Drosophila melanogaster: one gene and its partner. The gene in region 2 interacts genetically with the main gene of each other region. Each region holds a gene or a part of one and is shown on either strand. Other genes may lie near its edges.

Region 1 (7,997 bases), 7.5 Mb from region 2:
CTGTAGTCCCGAGTTATTTATTTCACTTTAATGGGCAGCCAATGGAGGCTGGCAGGCGTTAGTGGCGCCTTTCCGGGGATTTCGACTAGAAAAGGCTACTGCAAACAACTCATTCATCTGGCCATTCAGCTAGAGATTATCCCAAGTTGATGGCCAATGTCACGGGCCAGTGCCAACTTGGAACTTGGCACTCAGAATGTCTGCGTTTTTATGGCCAATATGATTACAATTTAATGGCAGATAAATCAAGAAAAGCAAATGCTCATGGCCAAAAATAAATGCTAGGAGCACCGGAAACGTATTATATATTTTATAATAAGTTAGCAATCTAAAATGTCTGCAACATTTTAGAAAATAAGCTATTTGTATTCTTTATGTTAAACACAACACTTTAGAATGAGCATTTCAATTAAACGATTGCATACTTCTAGGCCAAGTTTATGTAAAAGCCGCGTTGATAAATAAATCCAAAAGGTAAACTGCCAAAATGCGAACTTCAATTTGATTTGATTTCAAAAATTATCCAAATGAAGCTTATAAATGTTTAGCTTTTAACAAATATGCTGGTATATTTATCAAAAATTTTATGAAAGAATAACGATATATATATAATACAAATCCTCTAAAATAGCATTCTTTTGGGCTGTGATTATATGAATGAACTGATGTAATGTGCTACAGCAAAATCTCCAAAGTGAAACTACCTGATATTCAACTAATTAATATTTATTTGCAAACTTCTATCATTCTGCAAAATGTAACATCTAATCATTCAGTAAATAATCTTTATCTGAACTAAGAAAACTGAAGAAATAATATTCATATTATTATATTTTTAGTACCATTGCAATTATTAAAGCATCTATTTGAAATTCTGTAGAAGTTCGCTCAACTGAATACTTACTGTAGTAAATTGTAAGGTTGATTCAATCGAAACTGAGAGCGAAGAGTGTACAAACAAAACTAAGGCGATCGAATAGCACACCCTGAAATACTTTATCTACACTAAGAAAAGTTCGAAAAGATACCATCTTAGAGATAAAATTGGGATAGTGATAAAATCAAATGGAAAATATAAAAAAATTTGATAAAAAATAAACCTCTTAGATACTTTTACGAGATTGAGTTTTAAATTCATAATATATAATCTTATGTAATAAATATATAAGATCTTATCTCGTTATGATTTGCGTGTTTTTCTCAGTGTTCAACAACGTTAACAACTAGACAACAATGTTTTTGCAAAGACATACCAGACGAGAACTATATATATATATATGGATTGTTTTGAGAAAATAATAAAGATATACTATTACTTACTAGCCCAGCAACTTAACTTCATATTGTTATCTCATTGCGACTCTAAAGCTATTGTGTGTAAAATCTGATAAAGACCCCCCCCCCCCCCCCCATTTGGGAGCTAGGCTACGCCCCTGTGAAATGGGAAGACCGACGTCGGCAGCGACGCCGACTGCGACGCAAAACCGAGTTAACGACGATTTGGAAATCGGTTTCCAAGAGCATTTTCAATTGGGCGTTTCCAGTGTGAAGACCAATTCGAATTTTTCGTGTTTTTTTTTTTAGTCGCCAAACCGTCGCCAGTCGATTTTCACTCCAGCTAGTGAATAGCTATTATTATTATTTTTTTTCGCTGTGCTAATCTAAAGATTCTAATAAAAAAAAGTGTTCATAAATTAGCTAATAACGTTCCTTCGATCGGTATGTATTGCGGCCACCAATCTTGGCTAAATGAGCAAAAAGAAAAAAAATTGAAAAAAACATCTAACAATCAAACGAAACGAAACCCAATTTAAGCATAAGCAGCAGCTCGAATTCTGAACTTGTTTTTCGCATTTCGCCATTAGCATATAGCATATACATATGTACCTACGTATAATGAAAACATATTCAAAAACTTGCCGGACCACGAAGCCAAACTGATAATGAACAAACAGCAGCTGGGGGCTTCAACTATTATGACAAAAACGAAAAAAACAAAATACATCTATAAAAATTCTTAATCAGCGCGCTAGAGTGTGCGCGAGAGCGAGAGGGCGCGCGGCGCCGAGGGAGATAGCGCGTGTTACAAAATATTAATTGAATTGAATTCGATTGAAGGTCTTGTAAAGCAAAGCTCCACGTTTGTGTGATTAAAATAGTTATGGCTATTCACAAAAAGCCAAGTAATTGGTAATGTGAGAATGGTTAATATGTAAAACAACTTTATTATCGTTTATAATTAGGCAATAGCTAACAGTCGGTTTACTTACCATTATTAATTCACTGTGCTAATAGATAATGAATAATGTTTACTTTGTATTAAGCACATGCTTAGAAGATACAGCTAAAGGCATACAAAACAACTTCCGCCGTCGATTTGCAACGGTGACAGTTTTTTTTTATTAAATGCGTATTACTTTACAAAGTTTCTGGCATTTGGTTCATAATATAATAATAATAATAATATTTAATAATATAATAATATTTGTGGCAATTCTCAAAGTTAAAAGGAAAAGCAACTGTAAATAGAATATGTATTTCGAAGTTAGTTTATTACTTCTTCTAAGCTGAGATACATTTAATAGATACATTTACGCCAGCTTGAGATACTTAACCTACTAGATACTTAAATGAAATCGAAAGCAGAACTTCCGAATCGAGTGCTTGCCCCATTATCGCTAAAAAAAAAAGAAGCGAAACGGGCCCCCCCGATCGTAACCTTCGCCGGTTTCTAATCTTTCCTCTTCGTGGGGTGGCACCATTTATTTTTGGGGTTCTGAAACTTTTGGTGGAAAAACAGCAGATACAGAAACGTATAGAAAACCGGGTGGTGCCAATATGCGTGCCATCATAAAGCCATCATAATCTCCGCTAGCCGTCGCAGCCTTGACTGATATGATGATAACGCCCTCATACATAAGATGATAAGACCAATGGTGTGGCATTAGTGCACTTAGATACAGCGTCTTGTCCAGGATCGATTTGGATTTCGAGTGGGGCAGCGATAAGACGACTGGGAGTCACCATTCGCGATTAGGGTATTCTGGCTGCGATGCGATAGGGATAGGGTAGTTCGCCGATCTGCACGTGGCCATCAACCGCAGTCTGTAATCCATATGTTCCACTTTCACTTCATTAACAGGTGAAACAGTGCCAGCAAGATGAGTCCGCCCCAACTTTTGAGCAAGGACTCCCCAGATATTGAGGTAGGTCCTGGATCATGATTCACTTCCCGTTGATAGTGAAAACCTTTCGTAATTCCTAGGACCTGCTGTCGCTAAATCCGCGAGTGAAGACGCAGTGCTCCGTGGTGCCCACCAAGCAGACGAAGGAGAACAAGAAGCACTGGAAACGCAATGCGGATCACGCTGCTCCGCCGTGCACCACGCTGGCCAACGACTTCTCGGACATCAAGCACACCACATTGTCGGAGCGCGGAGCTCTAGAGGAGGCGGCCAGGTGCCTCAAATGCGCCGATGCTCCGTGCCAAAAGTCCTGTCCCACGCAGCTGGACATCAAGAGCTTCATTACGAGCATTGCGAATAAGAATTTCTATGGCGCCGCCAAGGCGATCTTCTCCGACAATCCGCTGGGTCTGACCTGCGGCATGGTCTGTCCCACCAGCGATCTCTGCGTGGGCGGTTGCAATCTGCAGGCCTCCGAGGCGGGACCGATTAACATTGGTGGCCTCCAGCAGTTCGCCACCGAGGTGTTCAAGAAGATGGGCGTGCGGCAGCGGAGGACACCGCAGGCGGAGGCCAATCCGCTGTCGCAAAAGATCGCCCTCGTGGGCGGCGGACCGGCATCGCTGTCGTGCGCCACCTTCCTGGCCCGTCTGGGCTATCGGGATGTGACCATCTACGAGCGGAGAAGCTATCTGGGTGGCCTGAGTGCCGCTGAAATTCCCCAGTATCGTCTGCCCATCGATGCGGTTAACTTTGAGATCGATTTGGTTCGCGATCTGGGCGTACGCATCGAAACGGGTCGCTCGCTGGGCACCAAGGATTTGACCATCCAGGGACTCCTGTCCACCGGCCATGATGCCGTCTTTGTGGGCATTGGCCTGCCGGAACCGAAGCTGAATCCCATTTTCGCTGGCCTTCAGCCCAGCAATGGTTTCTACACCTCGAAAAACTTCCTGCCCTTGGTGTCGGATGGCTCGAAACCGGGTTTGTGCGCCTGCAAGGCAGCGGCCGGTTTACCCAAGCTCCATGGCAATGTCATCGTTTTGGGTGCCGGTGATACGGCCTTCGATTGCGCCACTTCGGCGCTGAGATGTGGTGCTAGGCGTGTGTTCGTCGTCTTCCGCAAAGGATCCTCCGGCATTCGTGCTGTGCCCGAAGAGGTGGAGCTGGCGCGTGACGAACGCTGTGAGCTGTTGCCGTACCTGAGTCCACGCAAAGTGATCGTCAAGGATGGCCTGATCACAGCCATGGAATTCTGTCGCACGGAGCAGAACGAAAACGATGAATGGGTGGAGGATGAGGAGCAGACGCAGCGCTTGAAGGCGAACTTTGTGATCTCCGCCTTTGGGTCCGGCCTGGAGGATCAGGATGTCAAGGCGGCACTAGCGCCGTTGCAATTCCGCGGCGAATTGCCCGTGGTGGACAGGGTGACGATGCAGAGCAGTGTGAAACAGGTGTTCCTCGGCGGCGATCTCGCTGGAGTGGCCAACACCACGGTGGAGTCGGTCAATGATGGCAAGGTGGCCGCCTGGAGCATTCATTGTCAACTGCAGGGCCTGCCACTGGACACGCCGGCTGCACTGCCGCTCTTCTATACGGACATCGATGCCGTGGACATATCGGTGGAGATGTGCGGCATCCGGTTCGAGAATCCCTTTGGCCTGGCCTCCGCACCGCCCACCACCAGCACGGCCATGATACGTCGCGCCTTCGAGCAGGGCTGGGGCTTTGTGGTGACCAAGACGTTCGGTCTGGACAAGGATCTGGTCACGAATGTCTCGCCGCGCATCGTCAGGGGCACCACGTCGGGCTACAAGTATGGACCGCAGCAGGGCTGTTTCCTGAACATCGAACTAATCTCGGAGAAGCGGGCCGAGTACTGGCTGAAATCGATTGGAGAACTGAAGCGTGACTTCCCCGAGAAGATCGTGATAGCCAGCATTATGTGCAGCTTCAACGAGGAAGACTGGACGGAGTTGGCCATTAAGGCGGAGCAGTCGGGTGCCGATGCCCTCGAGCTGAATCTATCGTGTCCACATGGCATGGGCGAGCGAGGTATGGGCTTGGCCTGTGGCCAGGATCCCGAGTTGGTGGAGCAGATCTCTCGCTGGGTGCGAAAGGCGGTCAAGCTGCCCTTCTTCATCAAGCTAACGCCAAACATTACGGATATCGTTTCCATTGCGGCGGCCGCAAAGCGGGGAGGAGCCGATGGCGGATCGGCCATCAACACCGTTCAGGGACTGATGGGCCTCAAGGCGGACTCCACCGCCTGGCCGGCGATTGGCAAGGAGCAGCGCACCACTTACGGCGGCGTCTCCGGCAATGCCACTCGTCCGATGGCTCTGAAGGCCATCTCTGATATTGCCAACCGTGTGCCGGGATTCCCCATTCTCGGTATCGGTGGCATCGATTCCGGTGAGGTTGCGCTGCAGTTTATTCATGCGGGCGCCACTGTTCTGCAGATCTGCTCCTCCGTACAGAACCAGGACTTCACCGTCATCGAGGACTATTGCACGGCACTGAAGGCACTGCTCTACCTGAAGGCGAATCCGCCACCAGTCGATGGTCCCTTCTGGGATGGCCAGTCACCACCCACGCCGGTCCATCAGAAGGGCAAGCCCGTTGTCCGTTTGACCGGCGAGGGCAAAGCCACGCTGGGTTTCTTTGGTCCCTACCAGCGGCAGCGCGACATCAAGATGGCCGAGCTGCGAAGTCAGAAGGGAGCTCTTTGGGATGCCGAGCAGGTGAAGGCCACTCCTCCGGCGTCCAATGGAGCACCCAATCCGGCACCAAGAATCAAGGATGTGATCGGAGCAGCGCTAGACAAGATCGGGTCATACAACAAGCTGGATAACAAACAACAGAAGGTGGCGCTCATCGATGATGTGAGTGCTGAGTTATCATTAAAGTATCCAAATTTCTAATTGCATCCGTGCTTTCCAGGACATGTGCATAAACTGCGGAAAGTGCTATATGACCTGCGCCGATTCCGGCTACCAGGCCATCGAATTCGACAAGGACACCCACATTCCGCACGTGAACGACGATTGCACGGGCTGCACACTCTGCGTCTCCGTTTGTCCCATCATCGACTGCATCACGTGGGTTCCTCAATGTCACCAGCATCATATATATACTGGTTAACTAACTATATTATGTATTTATATATTTCCAGCATGGTGCCCAAGAAGATTCCGCACGTGATCAAGCGAGGAGTCGAGGAGAAGATCTTCTACACCCACGCTCTCAGCCAGTGCCAGTAAAAGTCCCTAGTTCTACGCGAAATACCGATAGTAAATTCCAATCTATGTAATTCAATTAAATACAAAACATGTTTCAAAAGCAGAAGATGGCATTCAGTTTTATTTGCTTAAAAATACGAAAGTAGGAAAAATAACTTTAAAAAAATTACTATGTTTATTATATCACTGATGACCAATCCACTTATTTTATAATCATTTTGATTTGAAATTCGTATTTGAAATTGGCGCGCAACTCAAGCTTTTCCCAACTTTATCGATGTCTATCAGCTGATTTTGGAGACCAATTTTTTAGCAAAAAAAAACAAAAATTCTATTAATATATATTGTCTGCGAAATTAACGAACAGTTAAGCTCAAGTAGCAACAACGAAATTTACTTTAATGTTTTGAAATATATATAACATTAATTATTTACCATATTACTTTTCTCATCCCTAATATAGGCGATACTATCGAATGGGATCAGCTGTTTGTCGATATTGAAAATTTTAGTTTAGAAAAACAGAAAAACGGAACGACGTAGGAATCCAGTAGCAGCTGTGCGTCAAAAAAAACTAGTCGTCTCTACTTTCAAATAGGCAATAGATTTAATCTGAAAACAAAATTCAACGTAAAATTCTAAAGCCACATAAAATCCGGCATTATTTGAAAGCGTCTGCAGAGCACAGCACTCCAAATCCAGTTCCGCCATCCAAGGTAAGCACCATTGTCGTCGCATTGCATCTCGCATCCAAAATAGCACTGATTGCCAGCAGATTCTACGCATTTACAGAAGCATATGATATAATAATGTCTCGATCATTGAGTCGCGTATTGGGTACCATCTGGGCGCCATCCCTGTCCATTTCACATACCGTACATCGCGGATCCAACAGACTGAACGACCTACTGAGCACCAAGGTGACCAACACGGCCATCATTCCGGTGGCTAGATACTCCAAGCGAAATGGCCCACCGTCGGATGCCGGCGGATACTTTAAGACCGTCAAGTCGCGGGATCTCGACGACGACGATGAGCTAAATAGTTTGGAGAGTGAGCCCAACTGGGAACTGACCGCCGAAAGAGGCAATCGCTTCTATCTGCCAAATGGCATTGGGCCCGCCTGGCAGGGCGACAGCACCACCGTCGGTCTGCTCGAGCCGCTTGGCCACCTGGTTAACTTTCACAAGGGTCCCAATACGGACAAATCGCGCCTGGAATTCACCTGCTGTAAGTGTCCCCTGCTTATCCGTGTGCCACTCTTGGAGATCTTCCCGGTACCCGTCGTCGCACAGCAGTGCATAAACATCACCATGCTTGTTCTCAGCCACGAAGGAGACATCGAAATGGGCGCTGCCAAGGTGAGAAATCAGTTTTATTCACGCATCCACACTGTAGCGGGAAATCACACTGCAGTGTATTTGGATGAATTGGAGGAATGACCTCGTTATTGCTCTGATCATTTGTTTATATACAATCAAACCAGTTTAGCACGTTGAAAGCTAGGTGGGTTGACCTTCCTTAAGTTTGGCACCCAATTTTAAAGTAAGCCATAACATTTTCAATCATT
Region 2 (6,647 bases):
TCGAAGAACTCCTCCTCCTCGCTGTCATCGGACTCCGACTCCGGCTCCGGCTCCGAGTTGCGGGCGGCCTGTTGATAGCGGAACTGCGAGTTGGGCAGCGGCAGTAACTCCGCTGGTTTATCCTCCTCAGGTTCCTCCACTGATTCCTCCTCGGGCGCCGCATCCATGGACTCCTCGATGGTGCGCGAGTGGTCCTCGATCTCTTCGTCGTCCAGATGCGGTGCTCCATTGGCGAACGAGGCGAAGCGCAAAGGATCACGCAGTTTGCCCATCACCGCCCACTGCTTGCACTCCGGACTGTTGACGTACTTGCGCAGGTCCGCCAGCGATTTCGAGGTCTCCACGGCCGTCTGCTGTTCGTACTCCTCCTGGGTGAGCATGCGCCTCTTTAGCGGAAAACGGCGGCGATACATGAACTTGATCTGGTTCGTCCACGAAATGGGGAAGTAGTGGGCCACAAAGACCAGCACCATGATGAAGATCACGGCGCTGGTGTGCCAGCTGCTGAAGTAAGCCATAACGGCGCCAATGGCCTGCAGCACCCACATGACGATGGTTTGCGATCGAGGATTCTTGGGCGGACCAATGCGATAGCAGATCTGTAGAATAATCGAGGCAATTAGCTGGGGTTATCTAATCAAAAGGGAATATCAAGTGACTACGCACCAGGAACGAGATCAGTCCGGTGATCACCAGATAGCCCAGCACATGGTCGCGGTAGGTGATCAGAATCAAACGCAGATTGTCCGCCAGCTGTTTGATCACATAGAAGCCAATGGTCCAGCCGCCAATTAGGACGCCATACATCATGGTACGTCGCGGAAAGAGTTTGGCGGCCAAATAGATGACCACCAGCAGGGAGGCGCATATGCCGATGACAATGCCGACCAGATAGTAGAACACACTGTTCTTTGCTAGCCGCCGGGCGCTGAAGAGGATCAGTATGCCGACGGCGAACTGTGCGAGACGCCACAGATCCAGCGGAATGCTATTCAGAATGACGGTGTACGCCTGGCGGGAGGAAATCCCGATGCACTGCTGCTCGAAGGGCGAGAGCTGCAGCAGCTGGCGCTTCTGCGCGAACAGGGTGATGCTGAACAGCGATTGCTTGTCCTTGTAGTGCTGCAACACCTCCTCCGGCGTCTTCCCACCGTACTGGGAATAATCATCGCTCCCGATGGCCAGGACGAACTCCACAGTCTCGAAGAGACTTGACACCGTCAGCCGTTTACCCGGATAGCAGAACGTGCGCAGAGTCTGCAGTCCCAAGATGTTCTCCGACAAATTGATGTATGTGCCCGGCGTCAGGTAGGCGACGTCCGAGGAAGCCGTATTGCCAGGAATACCCGATGTGAAATATCCAGCCACGGTTAGCATCAGTAGTCCAGCCGAATGCATTATGAACGGTTGCAATGGCGTTAATCTTATCAATCAGTGCGCTTTCAGTCTGTTGCTCTCGCAGGACGTTCGCTTGTTAAATGCTGACTTGCTTATGCTTGATGTTTTGATGTTTACTTTACTTTAAGGAATCGAATGAAAAAGCAACGCCGCTTTGGTTTATGTCCTCACTCACGACGGGACGGGCAGTATATCGTAACGTAAGAAAAATGTATCGATAGGTGTGTGTGTGACTACACTGTTGTGATTTCAAATTTGTGACTAACCATTTAATTGTGGATTATTTATTTCCTTTGGAATACTTTGCAGAACACCCCATTTAAACATGTTTGCTAATATTATTACAAATATCTTATCTTATTCATAACAATAAATGAATATATAACGTTCTTGCCAAGTTCCCAACCTGCAATATTACTTCTAGTAAAGTTCCACACCGCCGAGCTAAGCTCTTGCTGTGGCATTTTTTAGCACATAATGCACGAAGATTCCGATTCAACCAAGGCGGTGAATTCAGTTGTTCGACTTTGATTTTCCAGACGTTAATTGGAGCCAATTTGCAAGCAAACACAGTTAAATGCTCAAACTAAACATATCCGAGCAGTGCGAAGTTAACCAGCTCTAAAAGCGGTGTCGCAAAGTAAACAAATCAAGTTGTCAATCGAATTAAAGTCGAAACCAAAACGTGTTCACAACTACAAGTGCAGCAAAGAGAGAGCTTCGCTTGAAAGTACACGGAATCGTAAGTGAGCTGTAGTTGTAACGGGTGCAGATGGGAAAAGGATAACTTGATGGCGATACTAATGCATCGTAGCTTAAGGATTCTCAGTTGGTTAATCCTCAATTCCTGCCCAAAGTCCAATTCAAAGTTAAAGTCAATGTTATTGTTATTCTCATTTGCTGACCGAACCGGTTTCCAATTGGATCCAAACTTCTCACACGTGCTTACGCACACACAAAACGCACCCTCTCACACTCGCTCTTCCTCTTTCTTCTCCGCCGCTAGTCATCGTGTAAACAAACCGTGAATGGCAATATCAAATGACAACAGGAACTTGAAACGCTTGATAAGCAGTGTCCATTCCCAATCAGAACCGTGTTGTGCCCCGCTCAACATGTTGCCAGACAGTTAAATACATGCATACATTCATCTATCGCGGCTTCCTATTGGATTCTTTGTATATTTTCTTGGGCCGGCAAACTGTGTGCGTGTGACGGTGTGTTTATAAACACATGTGTTTTTTGAACAAGATAACCTGTGGAATTATATTACATTACATTTAAAATCGAGGGTATGCACGCGCTCTGCGTAAACATATAGCATAGTCATAGCATATACTCATTAAGTAAAGTTCCCAGAGTCGCCGAATATTGTTATCAGATTTTCGACTCAATATTGTGTCTACTTGCCTTCGTAGAGATATGATCTTTTAATTAATTAACTTTGCTCGTTTATTTAAGACGGTTTTCGAGTGACAGGTACTAAAGAATACCCTATGGTTTCCAATCCTCCCCAGCAACTCGTCCAATATGGCCTCTACGGACTGTTACCTCGCACTGGAGGATGGCACAGTGTTGCCCGGGTACTCCTTTGGCTACGTTCCCTCGGAGAATGAATCCAAAGTGGGTTTTGGTGGCGAGGTGGTCTTCCAAACGGGCATGGTTGGCTACACGGAGGCGCTCACGGATCGATCGTACAGTGGTCAGATCCTGGTGCTTACCTATCCACTGATCGGTAACTATGGGGTACCAGCGCCGGATGAGGACGAGCACGGACTGCCGCTGCACTTCGAGTGGATGAAAGGCGTCGTCCAGGCCACCGCCTTGGTGGTGGGCGAGGTGGCTGAAGAGGCATTTCACTGGCGCAAATGGAAGACGCTGCCCGATTGGCTGAAGCAGCACAAGGTGCCCGGAATTCAAGACATTGATACTCGAGCCCTGACCAAAAAACTGAGGGAGCAGGGAAGCATGCTAGGCAAGATTGTCTACGAGAAACCGCCGGTCGAAGGGCTGCCCAAGTCCAGTTTCGTAGATCCGAACGTCAGGAATTTGGCCAAGGAGTGCAGCGTTAAGGAGCGACAAGTGTACGGTAATCCCAATGGCAAGGGACCACGGATCGCCATTCTGGACTGTGGACTGAAGCTCAACCAGTTGCGCTGCCTGCTGCAACGTGGCGCCTCGGTGACCTTGCTCCCCTGGAGCGCTCGTCTCGAGGATGAGCAGTTCGACGCCCTCTTTCTGTCTAACGGACCTGGTAATCCGGAGAGCTGCGACCAGATCGTCCAACAGGTGGGTCACAATTGAATCATTTGGATAGAATATAATGCTAATTTAACTAATCTTTTGTTTCTAGGTGAGAAAAGTGATTGAGGAGGGTCAAAAGCCCGTCTTTGGAATATGTCTGGGTCACCAGCTGTTAGCGAAGGCAATCGGCTGCTCTACTTACAAAATGAAGTACGGCAATCGAGGACACAATCTGCCCTGCCTGCACCGAGCAACTGGACGTTGCCTGATGACGTCGCAGAATCACGGATACGCGGTCGATTTGGAGCAGTTGCCCGACGGCTGGTCGGAGCTATTTGTGAATGCCAACGACGGCACCAACGAGGGCATTGTCCATGCCAGCAAGCCCTACTTTTCGGTTCAGTTCCATCCGGAGCATCATGCTGGACCGCAGGACACGGAGTTCCTGTTCGATGTCTTTATGGAGAGCATTCAACAGAAGGATTTGACCATTCCGCAGCTGATCGAGCAGCGACTGCGTCCGACTACGCCTGCCATAGATTCGGCTCCAGTGATGCCGCGCAAAGTCCTAATCCTGGGATCCGGTGGACTGTCCATTGGTCAGGCTGGCGAGTTTGACTACTCCGGATCGCAGGCCATCAAGGCCATGAGGGAATCAAACATTCAAACAGTGCTCATCAATCCGAACATAGCCACCGTTCAGACCTCTAAGGGAATGGCCGACAAGTGCTACTTCCTTCCCCTAACACCTCACTATGTTGAGCAGGTGATTAAGTCGGAGCGTCCGAACGGAGTACTGCTCACCTTTGGCGGCCAGACCGCTCTCAATTGTGGCGTGCAACTGGAGCGAGCCGGAGTTTTCTCCAAATACAATGTCCGCATTTTGGGCACACCCATCCAGTCGATCATCGAGACGGAGGATCGCAAGCTCTTTGCCGAGCGGGTCAACGAGATTGGCGAGCAGGTGGCGCCATCTGAGGCTGTGTACTCCGTTGCCCAGGCACTGGATGCGGCCAGTCGCTTGGGTTATCCGGTGATGGCCCGTGCTGCCTTCTCCCTGGGCGGACTGGGTTCCGGGTTCGCCAACAACGAGGAGGAGCTGCAGAGCCTGGCCCAACAGGCACTGGCCCACTCGAGCCAACTAATTGTGGACAAATCCCTGAAGGGTTGGAAGGAGGTGGAGTACGAGGTGGTGCGCGATGCCTACAACAACTGCATTACCGTATGCAACATGGAGAACTTCGATCCCCTGGGCATCCACACGGGCGAGAGTATTGTGGTGGCCCCATCGCAGACCCTCTCGGATCGCGAGTACCAAATGCTCCGCAGCACCGCCCTGAAGGTTATCCGTCACTTTGGTGTCGTTGGCGAGTGCAACATTCAGTACGCCTTGTGTCCCCATTCGGAGCAGTACTACATTATCGAGGTGAACGCCCGACTGTCGCGCAGCTCCGCGTTGGCCAGCAAGGCCACCGGCTATCCACTGGCCTATGTGGCCGCCAAGTTGGCTTTGGGATTGCCCCTGCCAGATATCAAGAACTCGGTGACGGGCAATACGACGGCCTGCTTTGAGCCATCCCTCGATTACTGTGTGGTCAAGATTCCACGCTGGGATTTGGCCAAATTCGTGCGGGTTAGCAAGCACATTGGCAGCTCGATGAAAAGTGTCGGTGAGGTGATGGCCATCGGTCGCAACTTCGAGGAAGCGTTCCAAAAAGCCCTGCGCATGGTGGACAGCGATGTGCTTGGCTTTGATCCGGATGTGGTTCCGCTTAACAAGGAGCAGCTGGCCGAGCAGCTTTCGGAGCCGACGGATCGTCGTCCCTTCGTCATTGCCGCTGCTTTGCAATTGGGCATGAGCCTTAGGGAGCTGCATCAACTAACCAATATCGATTATTGGTTTCTGGAAAAGCTGGAAAGGATCATCTTACTGCAGTCCCTGCTCACCCGTAATGGCAGTCGAACCGATGCCGCTCTGCTGTTGAAGGCCAAGCGTTTTGGTTTTTCGGACAAGCAGATAGCTAAGTACATTAAGAGCACGGAGCTGGCTGTTCGTCACCAGCGGCAGGAGTTTGGCATCCGCCCGCATGTCAAGCAGATCGACACGGTGGCCGGCGAATGGCCCGCCAGTACCAACTATCTGTACCACACATATAACGGAAGCGAGCACGATGTGGACTTCCCCGGCGGACACACTATTGTGGTGGGCTCGGGCGTCTATCGTATCGGATCCTCAGTGGAGTTTGATTGGTGTGCCGTGGGCTGCCTGCGCGAATTGAGGAAGCTACAGCGACCCACCATCATGATTAACTACAATCCTGAAACGGTTTCCACCGACTACGATATGTGCGATCGCTTGTATTTCGAGGAGATTAGCTTCGAGGTGGTCATGGACATCTACGAGATGGAGAATAGCGAGGGCATCATTCTGTCCATGGGCGGCCAGCTGCCCAACAATATAGCCATGGATCTGCATCGCCAGCAGGCGAAGGTGTTGGGCACATCGCCGGAGTCCATCGACTGTGCCGAAAATCGATTTAAATTCTCGCGCATGCTGGACAGGAAGGGTATCTTGCAGCCACGCTGGAAGGAGCTGACCAACCTACAGTCGGCCATCGAATTTTGCGAGGAGGTTGGCTATCCCTGTCTGGTTAGGCCATCCTATGTGCTCTCCGGTGCGGCCATGAATGTGGCCTATTCCAATCAGGATCTGGAGACATATCTGAACGCCGCCTCCGAGGTGAGTCGCGAGCATCCGGTTGTCATTTCGAAGTTCCTCACCGAGGCCAAGGAGATCGATGTGGATGCAGTGGCATCCGATGGACGCATCCTGTGCATGGCTGTTTCGGAGCACGTGGAGAATGCCGGAGTGCATTCAGGTGATGCCACGCTGGTTACCCCACCGCAGGATCTGAATGCGGAGACCCTGGAGGCCATTAAACGGATCACATGCGATTTGGCCAGCGTACTGGATGTCACCGGTCCCTTCAACATGCAGCTAATTG

The links. A genetic interaction does not mean that the proteins touch.
Region 1: of r (region 2) and su(r), changing one suppresses a phenotype caused by changing the other (phenotypic suppression), as found in Drosophila melanogaster (one study listed by BioGRID).

Annotation. Positions count from the first base shown.
Region 1 is NC_004354.4:9,195,342-9,203,338, reverse strand, and holds su(r) (suppressor of rudimentary), read left to right. Parts: upstream 1-1,518; 5' UTR 1,519-1,719; intron 1,720-3,142; 5' UTR 3,143-3,161; coding exon 3,162-3,206; intron 3,207-3,265; coding exon 3,266-6,070; intron 6,071-6,128; coding exon 6,129-6,286; intron 6,287-6,360; coding exon 6,361-6,448; 3' UTR 6,449-6,531; downstream 6,532-7,997. Other genes in the region: CG12118 (uncharacterized protein), read left to right, coding at 7,237-7,788.
Region 2 is NC_004354.4:16,653,470-16,660,116, forward strand, and holds the start of r (rudimentary), read left to right. Parts: upstream 1-1,889; 5' UTR 1,890-2,140; intron 2,141-2,621; exon of another isoform or gene 2,622-2,690; intron 2,691-2,915; 5' UTR 2,916-2,928; coding exon 2,929-3,687; intron 3,688-3,751; coding exon 3,752-6,647. Other genes in the region: Nemp (nuclear envelope integral membrane protein), read right to left, coding at 1-599, 667-1,398. UniProt on the Drosophila melanogaster protein: Multifunctional protein that encodes the first 3 enzymatic activities of the de novo pyrimidine pathway: carbamoylphosphate synthetase (CPSase; EC 6.3.5.5), aspartate transcarbamylase (ATCase; EC 2.1.3.2) and dihydroorotase (DHOase; EC 3.5.2.3).